Linked DNA regions of Arabidopsis thaliana. The protein of the gene in region 2 interacts with the protein of the main gene of each other region in a pairwise test. Each region holds a gene or a part of one and is shown on either strand. Other genes may lie near its edges. The genes, in order: bZIP52, RAP2.9, MYB1 and HB51.

Region 1 (5,725 bases), on a different chromosome or scaffold from region 2:
GGCTTCCAAGCTCTGGTGGTATCTGCCCGCTAATAGAATTATTGTTCATGTGACTGGAAAAAGATAAGATTGACCAAAAAAAAGCAATAAATGTAACATATTCAAGGGGAGAAGGAATCACCATATTGAAACAGCCAAGTACAACTCGACACCAGATTAAAGAACTCACAAGTGCTTCGTTTTGTTTAAGTTTGCAAAAGATTTGGGAAGTGGTCCTGATATACGGTTTTCATCAATCTGTATTCTGTCCAAGTTTGGAAGAAACCCTAGCTCCTCTGGTAAGTTTCCATTTAACAGATTTCCATTCAGGAGCCTGGAAAAGTGAAGTTAGCAGCCAATCCCAAAGCAAATAAAGCAGGGAAGTAAACAACAAAGTCCTGGACTAACAAGAGTTCTAAGGACTTGATATTCCCAATTTCCTTTGGTATACTTCCGGTGATCTTATTCCACATGAAACTCCTGGCATTAGAGAAGAAGTTGTACAATACAAAAAGAAAGTTATTCACCATTGAGTATGACAAAAGATCAAGCAACATATCGTGTTAAAAACACGTACAGGATAGTAAGACGAGACAACCGGCCAAGCTCCGGAGACAAGTTCCCTGAGAGATTCATACTGAACAATTGCCTACAAGTATAAACAAAGCTAACTCAAACAAATCTCAAGGAAGACCAAATAAAAGAAAAAAGCAAGAGTGAAGAAGACAATACAATTCGCTGACATGAAGATAACCATCATCAAGAGTGGAGTTGAAGCAGACAACACCAGTCCAATTCGAATTGCACGGGTCTCCATGCTTCCAATTTCTCAATCTATGAACAGGATCGTTCAAACTTTCTTTGATCACTCGCAAAGCCCTCACTAAAACCAAAAAAAACATCAATGATCAGTACCAAATCAGTCGAAAGCTAAGAAAACCCATTGTCACAGACACAAATTGTCTGAAGATCTAACACCAAAGACAAAGCCTTTTAACAACAACAACAACAAAAAAGAAACCTTCAACGGGATTGGTGATGTCGTCTTGAGCAAAAGTAGAAGAAAAGCAACAGAAGAGGAAGAAGAAGAGCAGAGGTATGAGGAGACGAGAGACATGATGGGTCGAAAACATATCGAGAGAGGAGGAAACAGAGGAGACCCAAGGAAAAAACGAAATCTCGAGAGAGAGAGAGTTTAGAAGGAAAAGGCCATGACCAAGTAAGAAACACAAGACAAAGAAAGAGGAAAGTAGTTGGTATTGGGTGGGAGCATTGAAGAGTGATAATACGACATTTTCTAAGTTTGACTATTTCAGGTAATGGATGAGACCGACGGAAGAGCGTCATCATAAGTTTCCGTTGCGCCGCCGCCATAACTTCACCACCTTCTTCCGTCAAAACCATTCTACTTGCTATTTTTCTTCCTTTGTTTAATGATTCCTTGTCTGACCTGTCTTTGACCTTTTTGTCGTTTTTTTAATCCTTTTTTAATGACAGTAGGTAAATCTCTTGCCAGGTGCGATGAATTTCCAAATATTGTCAATAAAGTTACCTTTTTATCCCACCTTGATTTTTTTTTTATGTATTAATTAAAATTTAAAAACGTATACCATTAGCAAATAGTAGCAATCATTGGTATATTGGAATCATATAGTATATGGCAATTTGGTCATCGATATCGTATCTTTATGTGCATTTTGGCCCCCACGATACTAAAAGTCACGAAATTTTCCAAAGTATCGACTTTTATTGGAAAATGGTGCTGATTATCAACTGATTTGTAGAAGTGTGATTAATTACCTGTAGTCATTATGATTTTCTTGAACAAAAAAAGAAGAAACAGAAGATGTATGTCACTATGTCGTATCATTACGAGAGGGAAAAAAAAGAAACAGCTGGAATAAATTACTCAAATAAGAAAAGAAATACAATGGGCACTATTAAAAAGCATAGACATGAGCTATATATTATTTATGTTTAGAGAAGAACTTTCCAACAGAATTTGGTTTTAAAAAATACCCGTTAGGTGACAATAAATGGGAGAAACTATATCTTAAGTATGTTCATTATTTATATATAAAAAAAGGGAGAATCACAATTCACAAGTATGTTGATAAATAATAATAAAACAAAAAAAAAAAAGACAAAAGAAACTTTAGCTGGTAAAAGTAAGCATCATTAGGTTTTTAATTTGAATCACTATTAAATGATGCCGGTCCACTACTTGCGTTTAAGACAATTTAGAGAGACTTAACTAAAAAACTTATTACTTAAAGCGATCAATACGACCATCTTTTTAATTATTTTGACCGGTAAACAAAGTGATGCCCAATTGCCAATTTAAGAGAAGGCCCAAAACATCCTCCTGTCCACTACAGGCGCATTATATGCTCGAGGATTTCTTAAAACAAAACAATACTTGTCTTCTTGTATGGGCCTGATAATTAAGGCCTCCGTATGATTTAGATCCAACCAATAAGTATTTTTCACTATAAGTGAATTTTACTTGTTTCCCAATCCATAGATAGTTCCATACCAAGTTACCAACTTATTATCCCACAAAACATTCTCTCAGACTCTCAGTTCATACAAGGCTTTCTGCCTATTTTTTACTTGTTAAAATTTTGACTCAAAGATACAAAAATATACACTCAGACGTGGGGAGATGTAATGCCATAACAGCTTAAATTAATAAATTTCGTTGAAGCAACTACAGAATCTTGTAATGAATGCTACAAAGAAGATTTAAAGTTAAACAAATTTAAATCATGAAATCGAATAATTAAATAAAATACAAAGAAAAAGGAAAAAAAAATAAAAAAAAAAGGGAGGGAGACAAGATGCTGCGATGGTTCACGTGCCAATGTGCCTTTTACTTTTCATCAACTAGTTTTCTTTTTAATTATTAATAAATCAACTCAATTTCGCAATTTTATAGTTAGTGACGTCACTTCTCTCTCCTCACAGAGTCGAGTTTCTCTCCTACGCTCTTCATTTCATTTCATTTGATAGAGAGAGAGAGAGAGAGAGAGAGAGAGAAAGAGCTTCGTCTTCTTCATCTCCATCATTATCTCCATTGACATTGTTCTCAATTGCGAATAATAATCATAATTATTCACACAACCAAAGCATTCATCTCTCAGATTCTCTTAAAAAAATGGAGAAATCAGATCCTCCACCAGTCCCAAAGCCCGGCGCCACTATTATCCCCTCCTCCGATCCAATTCCTAATGCCGATCCGATTCCATCTTCTTCCTTCCACCGCCGATCTCGCTCCGACGATATGTCCATGTTCATGTTCATGGATCCCCTCTCCTCCGCCGCACCACCTTCCTCCGACGACCTTCCCTCCGACGACGATCTCTTCTCTTCTTTCATCGATGTCGATAGCCTCACCTCTAATCCCAATCCCTTTCAAAATCCTTCCCTCTCCTCCAACTCCGTTTCCGGCGCTGCTAATCCTCCTCCTCCTCCTTCCTCTCGTCCTCGCCACCGTCACAGCAATTCCGTTGACGCTGGATGCGCCATGTATGCCGGTGATATCATGGACGCTAAGAAAGCTATGCCTCCTGAAAAACTCTCTGAGCTTTGGAACATCGATCCCAAACGCGCCAAAAGGTCCTTCTTCTTCTTCTTCAAATTTGTTTCTCTTTCCACAGAATTGAAGAATTGCAATGAAATTAGGGATTTGATTACAGGATTCTAGCGAATCGACAATCTGCAGCTCGATCCAAAGAGAGAAAAGCTCGATACATTCAAGAACTTGAGCGCAAAGTTCAATCTCTTCAAACCGAAGCTACCACTCTCTCTGCTCAGCTTACTCTCTACCAGGTTTCCATATTCGGCGATTCCTCGTTTGATCCCAACAGAATAGGAAAGTTCTTTCCTCTGTTTTACATACATAGACAGATCTTGATTTCAATGTTGTTTTGATTGATCCAGAGAGACACAAATGGACTAGCAAACGAAAACACAGAGCTGAAACTTAGGTTGCAAGCAATGGAACAACAAGCTCAGCTTCGTAATGGTAAGCACAAAAAAAAAAGAAGCTAATTTCTTTGTATGCATTTTGGTGCATTTCTTCAATATTTGCTTTTTGATGTTACAGCTTTAAACGAAGCGTTGAGGAAAGAAGTTGAAAGGATGAAGATGGAGACAGGAGAAATCTCTGGTAATTCAGATTCGTTTGATATGGGAATGCAGCAGATTCAGTATTCTTCCTCAACTTTCATGGCTATTCCACCATATCATGGCTCAATGAACCTCCATGATATGCAGATGCATTCTAGTTTCAATCCTATGGAGATGTCCAATTCTCAAAGCGTGTCGGACTTTCTACAGAACGGCCGAATGCAAGGGCTGGAGATTAGTAGCAATAGCTCAAGCTTAGTCAAATCTGAAGGACCTTCTCTCTCTGCTAGTGAGAGTAGCTCTGCCTATTGACGACAAGATTATGATGAGGCTCATTTTTCTGTTAATAGGTTTTTTTTTTTTTCAATTCATTTGATTCACTTTTGATTATTTATTCTTTCTTTTTTTTGAGGTGCCATTGTGCAAGAAAGGACGTACGTATACATTTGTGTTGGTTATGTGTCGTGAGTTTCGTTGTTTGCTATTCCCATTGTTTGTTCTTCAAGGAACAAAGGAGACTAATAAATTTCATTTTTCTTTTGTATACAATGATGTTTGCTACGTTTTGTTTTATTTTACTAGGAGATGGAGATGTTTAATAAGTTCATTCCAATTGGGTTAATAGTTTGATTTTGGGATCAATGATTTTGATACGACAACACCAAGGCAGTTCCTCAGTAGCTTCTTCTCCAAGACACCCTCACATCCGTCATCCCATTAGAGTTTTGAGACAACTTCTCCCAACCGGACTTCTCCATGAGACAAAATTTCCCAAACTTGGAGTCGGAGTTGAAATGAGAGACGAAGCATTGAGAGATTAGTTTTTGAGACTCTGTAAGACTGTTAACGAAAATATTCGACCTTTGAAAGACATCTAACACGATTCAACCTTTAAGCAAAGACCCATTGTTGGAGAGAACCAACAAAAGTTCCAACCTTTCCAAACTGAGCTAGCAAGAACAATAGAACATGCATAACAATAAGAACGTGGAGAGTTTAGAACATTGTTACCATGTTATCAGACGAAACATCTACTCTCTGGACTGTGGACGTCCTTGGAGAAGCTCGGTCTATTTCGCAAAATAACTTCCAAAAAAAAAAGGAGAGAGCTCAGAATGGGGCAATATCAACTGATATTCAGTAGAATGCATTGGACCCAACCAATGCTAAAGCCAATTTCTTCACAGCTCATGCACCAGCCGGGAATCGAACCCGGGTCTGTACCGTGGCAGGGTACTATTCTACCACTAGACCACTGGTGCTTTGATGACAATTGTTTTGTTTTAATATCTGATATACAATAAAACCACATTTAAACCAATAGGCCCTATTTGATGGCGATACGTAATTTTATTTTTTGGGCTTTTTCATCTTTTGCCAGTGGGAATTTGTGAATTGTGAGTGTTTGTTTCTAACTTTCTATGAAATCGAAATTTGAGAAAATTGTGAGAAATTCAAGAGAATACATGTAAACTAGGGTTCAACAAGTAAATTGCCCCCACAAAACTATGCCAAAAAATGAAAAAACAAAACAAAACATGCCGATAGACAAATTCTAATCCGTATGAAGCCTCGATGTATCTTGAGCACAATATAAATATTTGATTAAATAGAA
Region 2 (4,875 bases):
ATATATACACAACTCTTCAACATTCCAATTTTGTCTACATTCCGAATAGAAAGAAAATTGTATTTTACAAAATACAAATTATATATATTTTGTAAATAAACTGTAAATTTCAACCGTAATCCCACGTAACATACTAAAAAATACATATTATACAATTAAACCCAATTATAAAATATATTATTTAACTATACGAAATATCCTCAATATATAAATTATGTAAACAAATTAGGCTCGCGGTTTACCGCAGGCCAAAATCTAGTTTTACTATATAAAATAGAGTTTTCAAAGTTGCTAACTCACGTGATCACGACAAATATCAAATACATTGATGAGATATCGACATATGTCAAATCTAATTTTGTGAATATATTTTAAAAACATAAAATAGAAAATTTACTAACCCTATCGGGAATTATATATTCATAGTTTTTAATTATATATTAGATAATAAGATAATTCAAAATATAATAGGTTTTTAGAAAAAAATAGCCTACGTTCAAATATGTGTTTGTATATTTTGTCAAATTATTTATCTTTTTGTTTTTGTTTTATTAAGATAACTTTAAAATATAGATGTCAACAAAACAAATAAAATGGTAAAATGCATAGATAAAGATTATAATAGAAAAACTCATTAGTGTTGGAGACAAATGAAAACTAAATATAGTTTTGTTTAAGTAAAATATTAAGGACTATTTTAATAATATTAAATTATGTCATATAATAGTAGTTATATAGTGAACAATAAAAATAACTTAAGTCATTATTTATTCAAAAATAGATAAATAAATAAAAAGTTAGAATACTAGATACTGAAAAAGTGTGGATTACTATTTAAAAACTAAATATCATCAAAATAAAATAAAATAATGAGATATAATATATAGAATTTCTTTTTATTCACTAATAGGATACTATATTTTTAACCTGCGGTACACTAAGAGACTATTTTTTTAATAAAAACTAAAAGTTTAATTTGTTTATATATTATCTATATGTAATATACTGTTTTGTATTTTATAAATATACAACCCCAATTTCTATATATTATTTGTGTACAATCCCTTGATTTTGTCATGCGGTACACCATAAGTCGATTTTTTATAACTTAAATTTTAAATTAGATATATTTTGTTAAGATAGTTTGTTTTGTTATATGTTTTAAATTATATCTGTAATTTTATTTTAAATGTTAGTTCTAGGCTCTCACCCGTAGTGTACAATCTCGTTTTAATATCGACCAACCCCGTCCTATTATAATACTCTGTCCCATGAAATTAAAAATTATTATTTATTTTTTAAAATAATACTTTTATTTAAAAGACATTGTATATATGTTCTTCTTAAATATATCTAAATACTAAATCTGTTCTTCTTAACATATTTTTAAAATGATCAAGAATTACCAAGAACATCCCAACTATAAAACATAATTTGAAAAATAAAATAAAAATAATATGAAAAAATGAAAAGACAAAAGAAATAATATTGGTATTTTCGTGACGATGTTATGAATATTCATGTTATGCAAAACTATACAAAATATATCACATTGGTATTTAAAAAAAAAAAAAAAAATCCCCACACTACTTTTCTGTTAAATTGTTTGTCATCTTCCTGTCTTGTGAATGTTTTTTCTCTTCAAACTTTGCTTCTCTTTCTAAAAGGAAAGAGACATGAATCCAATCTAAAGTAATACGTTTGTGATATTTGTGTTTAGTGATGGGAAATGAGATTTATGTGTATAGTATTTATAGGAAAGCTAGATAGGTTTCATTAATACATAGCAACCGATCGAAAAAATATAATATCATGCAAGATTTTAGGGAACAAATTATTTTGATTAGTTTATGATCGGAATATGTTAGGATCAATCGTGTATTCGAGTATTTAATTTATCTTCATAATCTAAATTTTTTTAGGTATATTGAAGGAAAGAATTATTTTAGTTAATGCAGAGTGTTTAAAATTAATAAACATCTCGTCACATATAATACAAAATCTCAGAATGAATCTAATTGGAGAAGTGTTTTATATGTGGATAGTAATATTATCGCAAATACAAATTTGTAGTTAGTAAATGAGATTTGGAATTTTGTATGTAAAATTTGAATAAAATTAGTGGAGTCAATACGGAGAAATTTGGGGAAAATGTTGTTAGCGTAAATCTTGCTTTAAATTCTTGAATTGAGTTTGATTTTGGAAAGTTTGATTAATTTCAAATATTTTACTTGAAAATGTTTTAGAAATAAATATCTTCTAAGTTGTTTTAGATTGTTGTGTACGATTATGTGTAGCTAATTTTAAAAAATTGATTTGAAGTTTGTTGTTTGGATTAAATTTGAATGATAATGTGATTGATATTTTAAATCAAAAATTGAAAGTAAAATTAAATATTTAAAAAAAAAAAACATTTAATGCTAATAATATTCTTTGTAAATATATATAAAAATGGAAAAATATTACAAAAATAGATATATAAATATGTGAATTGCTGTAAATGTTATTAAAAAATTATGTTCGGACCTAATATATTTATATAGTTAAGACAAAACTGATAGAATACAATGTGTTGCATTGTGGTAGCCTAAAGAATGTGCTGCCACGTCGGGTGTCCAAATGTCGACAGCCTTCACAGAGACTTTCTCAGCCGTTTATTAAACCGCACTGCCAAACAGTCAGATGTCTTCAACACTAAAAGTCAAACAAGAGTTCTTAGGTTCAATAGTAAAATTGGAAAGAGAGGCGGTTCTTGTCTATGTCGGCTATATTTTAATTTTAATTAATATAAAAAATTTGGGAAAGAAAAAAGTGACGGCGCAGCCACATAACGCATATCTCTAGCCGCCTAACGTGACACATATCTTCTCCCTCATGTAATCCTCTCTTTATATATTACACACGTAGACATGTCACGTTTGGTTAGGGTTTGATGGTGATTCAATACAAACGAAAACAAGAGTTTCCTATGGTGAAAGAAGGAATGGTCATGACCGAGAAGCCAAAGAGGAATCTCATAAGCTCTAATGAGAAGCGATACAAAGGAATAAGGATGAGGAAGTGGGGCAAGTGGGTGGCTGAGATAAGAGAGCCTAATAAACGATCACGGATCTGGCTTGGTTCATACAAAACCGCCGTTGCCGCGGCACGGGCCTACGATACCGCTGTGTTTTACTTACGTGGTCCTTCGGCGAGACTCAATTTCCCTGAAGAGGTCTTTAAGGATGGAAACGGCGGTGAAGGCTTAGGAGGAGATATGTCTCCGACGTTGATACGGAAGAAGGCGGCTGAGGTGGGAGCTAGAGTCGACGCAGAGTTGCGGTTAGAGAATAGGATGGTTGAGAACTTAGACATGAATAAGTTGCCGGAGGCATATGGATTGTAATTTATAGTTTGGTAGTTTATAGGTTGGAGATTGCCCGGAGACAGAGTCAAACAGAGGTTCTCTGACTCATATGAGGCATAATATAGTTAATATAGTAATTTTTGTTTTGAGCATAGTAATTATGTCATAACATGGATCCTGAAAAAACAAACAAATAACGAAACAAATGCTAAGAACCAATGATTATAACGGATGATTAAGTACAATTTGGTTTGTTATAACCAATGATGTGTAACAGTTGTATGAAACTGTCTTCCCGACTTTGTTAGAATAGGGAGAAGTGAAACCATTGTCTTCGTTTCATGACCGTAAAGTCTTGTCTTCTAATGGAACAGCAAAGGCAGCTCCACATATTGATTGGGGTTTTATCCATGAGATACCAAATTGGATTTGCATGGGCCCATAGCTGGTGGCCTAAACGGGCATGTGATGTAAATTTAATTATGTGATCCGTTTATCGAAAACTTTTGTGAAATAAACGATTCAAAAAGGTTCAATCCCTTTAGCCTTTAGGCCTATTCTGGGCTTAGCTTGTTTAATTATTAAAAGAAAAATGTTTGTTGGCAAAGTTAATTTAGATGCTCTCCGAGGCACTTAAAATTCCTTTCTTGGCAAAGTTTAATCTCCCAACAATTAACTTCTTGTCGGTTCGATCAGGTGGGAAAAAAGCCAAAAACCGAAAACCGAACCATATAGAAACGAAATAAATAGTTTGGTTTGGTTATAGTTTTATATAAAAATCCATTTATAATTTTATTAAGATTTCGATTTAGGTTTGGTTTGGTTAAAAAAACGTAAAACCGAATGTTTTTTTTTGCTTTTTTGTTTATTAAAATTAATTTCACCAGGCTTAGTATTATTGTCCTTTTAGTAATTTTAGAAAATAACAAATAATTATATAAGAAAAAAATCCATTACATTTTACTTATTGGTTGATATAGTATTTTTATTTTAAGTTTATTTTTATTTATGCATCATCAAATTTATTTATCCTTGGTAAAAATATGAAATTATCAAAAGAAAAGCGGGCCTAAACTGGAACCAAACCGAACGAAGATACACATTGTTTACATATGGTTTCAATATTTATGAAACCGTAAAACCGTAAAAACCAAATCGTAACCAAACCGAATTACATACGGTTTTTACATTGTTATAGTTTTGGTAAAACTGTAAAATCGTAAAAAAAAAAAGAACCGAAATCAAACCGAAAAACTGTACGCCCACCCCAAGGTTACATAGATCATCGCAATTTGCAAACCCAAAATTTCTGTTTGAACCAAAAGATCATAGTACGATATATAAAACAAATGAATTTTAAAATACATAATACAGTTTGATCTCTAGTGTTTATCACTTGTTTATGTGAAAGAAAATGATTAACCTTAAAAAAGATCAAATAGAAAAAATAATTGGCAAAAAATTTAAAGACTATATATATATTTTTTAAATATGCTATTCTTATTCATATATATATATATATATATATA
Region 3 (6,115 bases), on a different chromosome or scaffold from region 2:
TATGTAGTGCTATAAATAGGTCTAATAAAATACATGCCATCATAAATCAATATTAGAGGAAGAAGATAGGAGGGAATTACGTTGAAGGTGTGTTCCACAATGGAGGCAGAAGTTATGGAAGAGATTGCGAGAAGAATTAGAGCGCAAGCAATAGGAACCCTAACTCCCTCCATCTATAGAGAGAAGGATGAGAGAGCTAGCAGAGAAAGAGAGAAACGTGTTATGGAGATATTGAAGCAACGAGACTTGTGGTTCTACTTAATAATTTATAGAATGCAGAGTGGTAAGTGATAACTAACGAAGGACTAAACATTTGATGTTAATTAGGGTTGTCTAAGATAATGGTTTGACTATACAAGTAAATATAAATGAATATTCAATATGTGCTATTATAATTATATTTTGGTTGTTTGGTTTTCTTTAGAACTTTAACTAGCTACGTAAACGTAAGTTCTATCCAATGTTACTGCCACATCATTTTGATAGTTTTTCAACTTTAGTATTATAGTTCGTTGCTCTCTTATTGTTTATTATTATATGATATATTGTTTAAAATGGCTATCGAAGATTAAACTTAAAAAAACGATACCTTTTCTATACAGAAAAAATCCCTTACAATTATTAATAGCTAGTGTGTAATTTAAACAAGAAATGTATAGTTAATTATTCATTTTAATGTAAGCTTCTTAAAACTTGTTTATGATTTTTTTGTTGCACAATTTCGAAATAATTAGTCAAGAAATATTAGAATCGGAGTTAATGGATTGCTATATGTACATCGACCAGACGACCACTGTTCTCTAACATAATCAATTGTGTCTAAATATTTGTCTACGTGTATTTTTGTAGATATTGAAACATTTCTTGCTAGCGAAGCTATGCCCATAATAAGTATTTTCAATCTGTTAGTAGAGACATCGTTGTCTAAATTTCTAACAGTTGATTACTCCCTTTATTATTTTAGTTTATACTTTTTTCGTAAATAATAACAAAAGTCATCAAATTTTTTGCTTCTCAACACAAACAACCTCAATTCAATATAATTCGTATTACAAGTCCAATATAGACAACTACTTATCTAATTTGATATCTAAGTAACAACCACAATTTTAGTGACAGATTTATAATAAAACTGAACATTTCTGAATTTGCAAAATCCTTCCCAAAGATCGATGAATTCAATATCAAAGTAATCCAAATCTTAATTTAAACATTGAAAAGGTAGAAACTAAAGAAACCAATGGTCAAATTATTTTTCATTGCTACTGTTCTCAGAATTTAAAAGTGAAAAGATATCCAAGAATCATAAGAGATCGTAGTATACGTACTTAAAAGTTGATCGAATTCGATAAAATTAAGGAATCAACGAATCCAAAAATTTGCTTTAGACTTGATTTAAATGCAAAAGCAATACATGCGACGCACTCCAGACACAGGCCAATGGATTTTGTCTCAGAATATATGACAGTTGTTGTATTGTGAAATTATTCTTTCAACTATTGATCAATTATTTCTTATAAAAAGTTCCCCACTATCATATTAATTTGTTTACTTTAATACATTTTTATATATATATAATGAAGAATTTTGATACGTACGTGCATAGAAACGGTCCATATGTTCAAGTTGAAACTTGAAAGCATCCAAGTCAACTTTACAATATCTTCGAGAAACGTGTTGCATGTATTTTTTGTGTAGATAACTAGATATATTTTCTATATACGTTTCACATAATATATCTCTGCATGAATATTTGTAATATTGGATGCGACAACTGTTTTCTCTTGACCGGCCTAGTTGATCCAGTTAATCATTCTTCTACGACGTCAGTGGACATGTAACTTTATATGTACATACTTGATTATTGTAAAGATAGGTTCTACATATCTGGTCAATTAAATTTTAGGTTAATAATGTATTTTATGTACATTGTAAAACGAACGTTCTTGCCATAATTTGAAAAATCGTTTTATTCAAATCTAAAGATTTGTGGTCAGGCAAAGGTCGTTCTCTATTAACAATAATCTGACTGTTTACTGTATGTGCAAGCATTGGTCTGATCATGAGCTTTCTTTATTAGCTTTCGGCCTTTCGCCATCTCATTTCATACGCGAATATGGATTCTCATTGACTTTTCAAATTTTAAAGACTACTTAAACTCAATCAACTCCAGGATCTTGCATACTTTCTCATGAAATTTCAATTTTAGTTGGGCAAACTGAATTTTTAAACATGGTTTGTGAGTTGACTTAGAAACCCATTTAGGATGTAGAATTCTTTCTATAATTCAAACGTTTAAACATTAATTAGATTTTAATTTACCCAAAAAAGCATTAGTATTTTGAAATTTGGTCAAAATAACAAAGCTTACTTCCGCATTTACTATTTTATCATTTGTATTTATAGATTGAAAATACTTCAAAATTTCTTAGAATCTAATATAAATCAAATCCTACTTTAAATTTTATATTAAATTAGCACCGGATTTAACCTAGTATTTAAAACCCAAAAAAAATTAAAAAAAATTGTAACCATCTTAAAATGTGGTTTGATAAAAAAACAAAATAATGAAAGATGAGACAATATTATCTCATTAACGTGAAACAATATTATTTTGTTATTTACTAGTGAAGAAAATTAACGGTGAGTGATAAATCAGAAGTCTAAAATGGATTTCTAGGTTACGACAAAAAAAATAAAAAAAAATGGATTTCTAGGTTAGCTTTCTTGGGTAGAGAAATAAGTTTACTTTTCACTTTCAGTTTTCATTATCCATTGAATGGGTCATGAAGAGGCCTGATATGGTGAATAATGGGCTTAAATAGGCCCAATAAAAGTACTTAGTCCACCGGTAATGAATTTCCCGCCATAGAAGAAAGTCATCAACTTCCGAAGATCTTCCGTTTTAAGTGATTTACCTAAATATCCCCCAAAAAAGGTTGACCAAAAGTTAAGACAGAGGATAACGATTAAGGGTAACAAAGTAAATGGCAATTATAAGGGCAAAATAGTAATTAAAAGGAATAAAAGATCCCCCGAAACACAAGCCCTACGAATCTAGTCGAAAGAGCGAGTGTGTTCACGCGACCTCAACGAGACTCAACGCTTTTACAGTTAAATCCGGTAGGTGAGAGAGAGAGAGAGAAGGGAAGCTTATGGAGGCAGAGATCGTGAGACGATCGGAGGTAACGGGATTAAGAAGGGAGGTGGAAGAATCGTCAATTGGTAGAGGAGATTGCGATGGTGATGGCGGCGATGTGGGAGAAGATGCGGCAGGGTTCGTTGGGACGAGCGGGAGAGGAAGAAGAGATCGAGTTAAAGGGCCGTGGTCGAAGGAGGAGGATGATGTGTTGAGTGAGCTCGTTAAGAGGTTGGGAGCGAGGAATTGGAGTTTTATCGCTCGGAGTATTCCTGGTCGTTCAGGCAAGTCTTGTCGTCTTCGTTGGTGTAATCAGCTCAATCCAAATCTTATACGCAATTCATTTACTGGTATTTTCTCTCTTTTGAAAGTATTCAATTTCAATTGGTGATTCCATTTTTCCTGTGATCTTCTCTTTTTTTTTTGAGTTTTGATTCATCTGTGTTGAATTGAGGAATCTAGGGTTCTTATGCTGTCTTTCGGAGTGTGGCTGTTGAGCAACCTTGTGTTTTTTTGTGAAATGGATGTGAAATGTGAACTTGGCTGAGAGATTGTTAGTCCATTTCTAGTTTTATATTTTTAGTTTGTATCGAAATGTTTTAAAGTTTGAGACTTGCAAGTTTTTTTGGATTTTGATCTACTCCTTGAATCCCAAAAGAACAACAAAGTTAGGTTGGATACCATTTGACTACCTCTAGTTGTATTGTTATAGCTGATCGAAACACAGTTTTATTTAGGGGGACATTAGTAGATTATTGTGTTCTTGTTCTGTAACATATCATCAGTAACACTAAACCAGGCACTTCTTTGTCTCTCTTTTTGTTTTTGTTTTGGTTTATGAAGAGGTAGAGGATCAGGCTATCATCGCAGCACATGCCATCCACGGAAACAAATGGGCTGTTATCGCGAAGCTCCTCCCCGGAAGAACAGATAATGCTATCAAGAACCACTGGAACTCTGCTTTAAGACGTCGATTCATAGACTTTGAAAAGGCCAAGAATATAGGAACTGGAAGCTTGGTCGTGGATGATTCTGGATTTGACAGAACGACAACAGTAGCCTCATCAGAAGAAACTTTATCTTCAGGCGGTGGTTGCCATGTAACTACTCCAATTGTATCTCCAGAAGGCAAAGAAGCTACCACCTCCATGGAAATGTCTGAAGAACAATGCGTAGAGAAAACAAACGGAGAAGGTATTTCTAGGCAAGATGATAAGGATCCTCCAACGCTTTTCCGCCCAGTGCCTCGGCTCAGTTCTTTTAATGCTTGCAATCACATGGAAGGATCACCCTCTCCACATATACAAGACCAAAATCAGCTCCAATCATCTAAACAAGACGCAGCAATGCTAAGATTGCTTGAAGGAGCTTACAGCGAACGGTTTGTGCCTCAAACATGTGGAGGTGGTTGTTGCAGCAACAATCCCGATGGCAGTTTTCAGCAAGAATCATTGTTGGGTCCAGAGTTTGTGGATTACTTAGACTCACCAACGTTTCCGAGTTCCGAACTAGCTGCTATAGCAACGGAAATAGGCAGCCTCGCTTGGCTGAGAAGCGGTTTAGAGAGTAGCAGCGTGAGGGTGATGGAAGACGCAGTTGGTCGGTTAAGGCCTCAAGGCTCCAGGGGTCATCGAGATCATTATCTTGTATCTGAACAGGGGACGAACATAACCAATGTCCTGTCCACATAAAAACTGGGAGAACAAAAACAGAGTCTCTGAGATTTTTTATTTTTCTTTCTTTTTTGAGATTTCTTTACATTTATTTTTATTTACTCTTGATCTCGGAGAGCTTGAGTTTTACTTGTAATCAAAGTTGTGATGTAATTGAGTAGAGATAGATTTTATAGTTCTGAAATCGAGTAGAGACCACAGTGTCTTCAACTTTCTTTGTGACTTGTATGGCGTCTGCATTAACATATCATAATGGTTGTTTCACTTTGCAACATGCCTTGACAACAATCTGACGATGATGATCAATGTCATAACACTACTAATTAGTGTGAATGTGTAGTAACAAAAACCACAATCCAGTTAAGATCAAGGGAAAACGGCAAGAAAATCCGGTTTTAGCACACAAAAAACTGATGGTTCACCAAGATTCTCTCAAACCAAGTCAAAGAAGCAAACATGTATATGTGCTATGTGTATATTCACATTTCTACATACTTATGCAGAGAAAGAAGCTGTACAAATCTGGCTTTTTTGTTGTCGTCGTAGTAACTCTAAAAAGCTTCGAGAGAAGAGCCATGTCTAAGAGCTTCTTTAGCTTCAGCCTCCATCCCAAGCTTTAAAAGACAAGCTGCTTGTAAGTAGAGAGCGATCGAAAACTCTGGCGATGCGACCTGAGTTTGCATCGCATCACTTAGAGCCTCGCGGAACATATCACTCATTAGGTAACATAGACACCGTCTGGCTAATACTGTTGGTGATACCACTGGTGCTCCACTCATGAACTGTACATACGGAAAAAATTCATATATCTATATCTATTGTATTTTCTGCTGGTAAAAGATGACGGTTTCTTGATGATTCAAAATGATACCTCTGTGTAGAATTCGATTGCGGTTTCAAAATCTTTAGCACGAAATGCGGCATCTCCGTGCTTCTTGTAATCCATATTCTCTTGCATTTGACCCGTCCACATTTGGAATGAGAACTGCAGCAATATTTTTTTCCTCATGATGAGATATTGAGATGTGTCAAAAGAGATATGTTTCTCAAAAATATAATGTACCTCATTTGTGACCACCACATCATCCTCTCCATACCCGAGTTTCTCGAGTAGTTCGTGCATACCACTTAGATCCACTCTCCAGCATGCTTCTCCGAAAGGGGTCAAGGGCAATGGCTCCTTTGTTGCAGGTTCAGTGTATGATGGAGTCTGTCATTATTAAGTCCCATGTACACATAAGAAAGCCTGCAGAACCCGAAACCTTGGAAGATTTAATGTAGTAATGACTTACAGGGATGTTTT
Region 4 (6,078 bases), on a different chromosome or scaffold from region 2:
TTCCACAAGCCTTCAACAATTAAGTTAAAAGAAGATTGTAGCTAACTAAATTTTAAAATATTGTTGACTTTTGTAAGTAATAAACTTGCAATGTATAAGTGGGTTAGTCTTATGGAACTTGTTTACCTTTTTTGTTACTATATATGTCTGGTCAATTTGCATAGCAACAATTAAAATTTGTAAAATGAATGTTATAAATATGGTCTTAAATTAGTGTCTGACTTTAACGGCGGGATTTAATTGTTACGTATTTACGATTTTGAAACTAATAGTGAAAAAGGAGACACTGTACCAACTTTAACCTTCACTGTTATATTCATCTTTAGCCTTCTTCACAATATTTTTACCTTTTCAGTTCTAGAGTTATTTAATGGTGGTGTAATAAATCTTACTATCCCATTTATCTATGTGAGGGTGGTAATTAGTTTAACCCAACAAAACCCATCAAAAAAATAAAAAAGTAAATGTATAATTCACATTATATATTTCATATTCACATTAAGCAATTCTCAGTTATATCGTATATATAGCATAAATACTTGGAATTCAATTGTTATATAATATAAGTTCTTACTTCTAATTCCTTATAAAGTCCCTACATTTTACTATAATGTGACAAGTAAATTTAGCTCCTCCAAGAAGGGGGGACCTTTTTCTTGATTACCGATCTTAGTAACTGATGGATCTAAATGAAATCGTCTTTTTAATTTTATTTTTATTTTTGTCGTCTATATGAAATCGTGTATGTTATATAAAAACTAATGAAATCATTTGGGGAAAGTCTCAATTCTCAAAGAACAATAACAAAGGAATTTAGTTGTGAATTATACCTGTACATGTTGGATTCTCCTCAATATCTGAGTTTTTAGTTCTGGCTCTCCTCTTTTTTTTTTTTTTTTTTTTTTTTTTTTTTCTAATGCATGCATGGAGATGAGAGTGAGACTCTGCTAAAAGTTTTTATTCGGATATTATTTAATTTGTTTGACAGTATTAACAAAAGGCTTTTAACTTTTAAGATTCTGTGAAATCATTCATCATGAACCCAACTAATTACCTTCTGGTTCTTAACATTATCTACTACTCGAAGAGTTAATATATAACCCTATAACTTCATCACTAGCTCTATTCTAATAAAGATGTATACGAAATTATGAATAAATATTACATTATATATTTTCGTATGTGAATGTATAATTAAATACACAAAAAGTTAAAAGGATTAGTGGCGATAGGACAAAACGGATAAGAAAGAAATGGAATTTCAAGCTGAATGATGATTCTAAATGATTTTATGGGTCTTAATTTTAGTTTATTTCGAATACAAATCGGTCTTATTTCTCATTTAATCCAGACAAGGAAAACCATATATATATTGGCGTAACACGTAAACATTTAAAAGTTAAAAACACGTTATTTTTGGTCCATATCGAAGACTTTTTACGTAGGGTCTTAGCTAAAATAGTGAAATTTGCATATTATTTTTTTAAGAAAATAGAGTATGAAATGTTGTTATCAAACGGATCCTTTACAATGAATGCAATCATCGAAAAAAAACCATAAAAATATTCTTAAAAAAATTATACACTATGAAAACTGTGATGTCTCATCTCTTTCAAGGGTTTAGGCTTAAAAGCTTCCCTTTTCTCTTATACACTGTCGTTAGTTTTAAATCTCATTACTTATCATCAATCTGTTCAAACCCTATCTACTTTTAACATAGAAAAAGATTCCTTTCCTTCCCTCTCTACCCTTCTCTCTCCATCTCTTACACTATTTACACATCAACAATTTGTTAAGTAGCAATTGAATATGAGAGAGAGAGATATAGGGAGAGAGATTGTGTGTAGAACTGCAAGTTAATAAAGAATGTGGGGGTAAAGAGTACACAGTAGATGAAGACAATGAGACTTAGTTTTCAAACTTCTTCTTTGCTTTGGCTTTTATTGGTCATATCAGACTCTTTATTTATAGATGATCTACTTAGCTCTCTGTGTTGATTCTTAGCTTTCAAAGGTAGCTTTTGGCCTCACCCTATATACTCTATACAGGTTACTGCACATATACATTGGTATGGACTTGCCACTAGTGCCAAACCTTTTGCACATTAATTTTCACATATATATAAGTAGATTTAGATGGTGTATATATAAGACAAAACAATAACTGAAAATCTTAGGACCAAGAATGAAGGCATAACCAAAGAAGGGGGGAACCACATTGTCAGTTTTTATGGAGTTTTTGGGGGACCATTAGTTTCGTTTCACTCTTTCTCTTTCACTTATTTAAGCTTAACTTTGACAAATACGTACCCCCACCTATATTACTACACGAAATTACAATATATTTATATATAAAATCTCATCAATTTCTTTTCAACTACATTTATGTTTCCATGTTTATAAAATTCAGTCAATTAAGACGGTGGTTTAAATGTTAAAGGCCACAAGTAGATTTATGTGAATGTTAAAAAGTCCCAAGTTTAGAAATTCCGTCAAATATAATTAATCCATGCAGATTTTGATTTACCATTTATTGGTTTACACTAGATTTTCAAAAGGAATATTTGGTGCATTCACACAAGGCTCAAGATTGTTTGTTTTTTCTTCAAAAAATATGATATTATCAAAACCTCTAATTTTGTAGCAAAATCAATTTTATTTAAATCTAAAACATGTATTGTCTTGGTTGGTTCACATCATCTTGCAAACTCTGTAACACTATAAATTGTTACAATTTGTATGTTTATCGAAAAAGCGCAACGATAATATTGACATAAACAAGTAGATTAGGTGTCATGATAGTATATATATTATAAAAAAACTAATACGAAAGAAAAAACAGTTTCCCGAAAATAAATTAAAAATTCCAAGTTTGACCCTTGGACACAACAAAATATATCAACCTATATTAATGTTAGAGAGATGATGGATGATGATTGATGATGTGCAAATGAGACAAAATTATATCACACTTTCCTTTTCAATCTTTAAATTCCAAAACAAAAGGTACTGTTGGGTTGCTCCCTTATTAGGTGAAAAAAACCTCACACAACACAGACAATTTCACTCTGTCTCTTTCACTACACCTCTATATCTCCCTCTAGATACATATCCCTATTTATATATGTATTGTTTCGAACACTGCGTGCTCTCACACTTTGTTACACCTCCAAAAGACAAAGTACATAGAAGAAGAAACTTCTTGTCACGCCTCTCTTACCCCTTCCCTTGTGGTCCAATAAAACCCTAATTTTCTTTTCTTTCTTTTATCCATTGTATTAGATCCTATATCTTTCTTCCTTATAGACCATCTCTCATGTCTTCTTATATATATTAAGATATTCACAAGAACTACAAAAGAAAGAAAGGAGATGGAGTGGTCAACAACGAGCAACGTAGAAAACGTGAGAGTAGCTTTCATGCCACCGCCATGGCCGGAGTCTAGTTCCTTTAACTCGCTCCACAGCTTCAACTTTGATCCTTACGCAGGTATATTCACACACCATCGTACCAAGTCTGCATATGTTACATGCTTTCGTTTTTTTTACTTTTAGATGTGTTTAATTCCATATTTGACGAATTCATGAACTTTAAAACCTTATTTATCCCACTTGCAAATGTTCTCAAGAAGTTTTTTTTTTTCTGTGAATGATGTAAAGAATTTCAAATATGACGTCCCTAAACTTCATTCCAAATGTCAACTAAAACGTTACTTTTCTGATGAGAAGCTAAGATTTTCTTATCTTCAGTCTACAATATCTATAAATAAAGTTTCTTACTTTTTTCTTGGGATCCTACAAAAACAATTTCTTGGGATCCAAATGCAAAAAGGTAAAACGTCACTTTTGAAAAGTTGAGATTCGTTTATGGTATAGTTCACTCTAAGAAAAATGGTTGCGGACATAATTTTATTCTTCTTATACTTTTGGAAGTTTTTTTTTTTTTTTTTTTTTTTTCGTATAATGATTATATTGTTGCGCTTCTATGTTTAAATATTTCCTTTTATCCTTTCGGGGCGTTTGCTAAAATGTTTAACAGCAGGAAATTCATATACGCCTGGCGATACACAAACCGGACCGGTTATCTCTGTACCGGAATCAGAAAAGATCATGAATGCGTACCGATTTCCGAACAACAACAATGAGATGATAAAAAAGAAGAGACTAACGAGTGGACAATTAGCTTCACTTGAGCGAAGTTTTCAAGAAGAGATCAAATTAGATTCAGACAGGAAGGTGAAGCTGTCGAGAGAGCTCGGTCTGCAGCCACGTCAGATAGCAGTTTGGTTCCAAAACCGCCGTGCACGGTGGAAGGCGAAGCAGCTTGAGCAGTTGTACGACTCGCTTAGACAAGAGTACGACGTCGTTTCTAGGGAGAAACAAATGTTACACGATGAGGTTTGTGTATTATATTGCACAAAATTAAAATCATGGGATCTAATTACATATTATCGTTTTCTTAATTTATCCCTTAAAGTCTTGATTCTATCAGATTGCCCCCCTTAAAAAATTGGATTGGTGGTGCAGGTGAAGAAGCTGAGAGCTTTACTAAGAGACCAGGGTTTGATCAAGAAGCAAATCTCTGCCGGGACCATCAAAGTTTCCGGTGAGGAAGACACGGTGGAGATTTCATCGGTGGTGGTAGCTCATCCAAGAACGGAGAATATGAACGCAAATCAAATCACCGGAGGGAATCAAGTTTACGGTCAATACAACAATCCGATGCTGGTTGCTTCCTCTGGCTGGCCGTCATACCCCTGATAGATGTTGCTGATCTCAGAGAGAGGGAAAGAGAATGAGAGAACGAGAGAAAGAGAGAGAGAGAGATTGTGTCAAATAGAGCTTTAGACTAGGACTTTAGTAGTGTTATAGACTAAGACAAGCTTTCTCTCATTGTACGATCTTAAAACATAAATGGCACGTTCTTGGATGCGAGATTGAGTCTGAAAATTGTTGAGTTGGTTTTGTTGAACAACTATACTATGAACACTCAGAATTGGCGAATGTCCGAAACAAAACTAGCTATAAACCAAAATAATGACGAGAGTAAACGAGATTGTACAAATCTTGACACTGATGCTCAGCATTTTCCGCTTCCCTTCACCGAACTTGAGACCTCTTGACGCAAAAAAAAGCTGCTTAGGCTTTGTGTGTGTGTGTGTGTGTGTGTGTGTTGTAGCTTGGTAAAAAGCTAATCTTTATATGTACATGACTGTCTCCAGGTAAGCTTTGATTGAAGAAGGCTTTAGTTGTTAAATATTTAAGAACTTTACATTTCGAATCAGAGATCATAAAAATTGTAACCTTGACAGTATTCCAATAACTGTCTCATATTGATAAAACATCAGACGCAAAAGCCATAAAGTGATCAGAAGTAGTACGAAGCTGCCACTCCATTGTTTATATTTGGAACCGTCGTTGCTAGTTTGTTTGGGCCTAGTCAGGAGTTATTTTGGGCCTAACTAAGAGTCAGTGAATCTGAGCTTAAAGTTTGGTAAGATGTGTAACTTGTAATGGGCCAATCAAATTTTGAACCAATTTTAGTATTTTACAAACCAACTTCGAATAGCTGTCTTTAAACTGAAATATACTTGATCCTAAACATTGAACACATGTATAAGTAATAACTAAAATAATTCAATTGAAATTAATTAATTAACAGAGTATTAGTATATGAACACCAAAAAGTCGCCTAATTATATCGTCACAGTATTTCAGTGCACAAGCTATTTTTCTTCTTCGAATGTTCCTTGACGCCTGATTATTTGTAAACTTTTAAGTTAACATATTAAAATATGCAAATATAACTATTATTTGTTTATTACAAATTAATGAAGAAAAACGCCCAATTATAATTTTACACACACACACAAACAATCCCGGGACTTTTCAATTATTTTTCGTTACACACGCCAAACAAACAAAAAAAATCTGACAAAACTTAGACTTCACGAATCTTCACATTCAATCTCCTCACCCAAATCGAATGAAGAATCATATGAAACACATCAAACCTCTTAGCCGGAGAATTCACCTCAAAATGTCTCCTTACCTTCAACACTCTTCTGTACATCCTTAAG

Evidence for each region.
Region 1: the proteins of RAP2.9 (region 2) and bZIP52 interact in a two-hybrid assay, tested with the Arabidopsis thaliana proteins (one large-scale study listed by BioGRID).
Region 3: the proteins of RAP2.9 (region 2) and MYB1 interact in a two-hybrid assay, tested with the Arabidopsis thaliana proteins (one large-scale study listed by BioGRID).
Region 4: the proteins of RAP2.9 (region 2) and HB51 interact in a two-hybrid assay, tested with the Arabidopsis thaliana proteins (one large-scale study listed by BioGRID).

What each region holds. Positions count from the first base shown.
Region 1 is NC_003070.9:2,102,097-2,107,821, forward strand, and holds bZIP52 (basic leucine-zipper 52), read left to right. Parts: upstream 1-2,951; 5' UTR 2,952-3,136; coding exon 3,137-3,597; intron 3,598-3,677; coding exon 3,678-3,810; coding exon of another isoform or gene 3,811-3,912; intron 3,913-3,921; coding exon 3,922-4,006; intron 4,007-4,087; coding exon 4,088-4,422; 3' UTR 4,423-4,653; downstream 4,654-5,725. Other genes in the region: AT1G06840 (Leucine-rich repeat protein kinase family protein), read right to left, coding at 1-53, 170-313, 388-459, 557-628, 712-862, 1,001-1,112.
Region 2 is NC_003075.7:4,072,603-4,077,477, reverse strand, and holds RAP2.9 (uncharacterized protein), read left to right. Parts: upstream 1-2,742; 5' UTR 2,743-2,932; coding exon 2,933-3,385; 3' UTR 3,386-3,761; downstream 3,762-4,875.
Region 3 is NC_003074.8:2,830,305-2,836,419, forward strand, and holds MYB1 (myb domain protein 1), read left to right. Parts: upstream 1-3,041; 5' UTR 3,042-3,155; coding exon 3,156-3,489; intron 3,490-3,982; coding exon 3,983-4,830; 3' UTR 4,831-5,086; downstream 5,087-6,115. Other genes in the region: LAC7 (laccase 7), read right to left, coding at 81-173; BSK9 (kinase with tetratricopeptide repeat domain-containing protein), read right to left, coding at 5,364-5,594, 5,684-5,797, 5,876-6,022, 6,105-6,115.
Region 4 is NC_003076.8:1,001,615-1,007,692, forward strand, and holds HB51 (homeobox 51), read left to right. Parts: upstream 1-3,167; 5' UTR 3,168-3,370; coding exon 3,371-3,488; intron 3,489-4,040; coding exon 4,041-4,396; coding exon of another isoform or gene 4,397-4,504; exon of another isoform or gene 4,505-4,525; coding exon 4,526-4,759; 3' UTR 4,760-5,017; downstream 5,018-6,078. Other genes in the region: AT5G03795 (Exostosin family protein), read right to left, coding at 5,940-6,078. UniProt on the Arabidopsis thaliana protein: Putative transcription factor.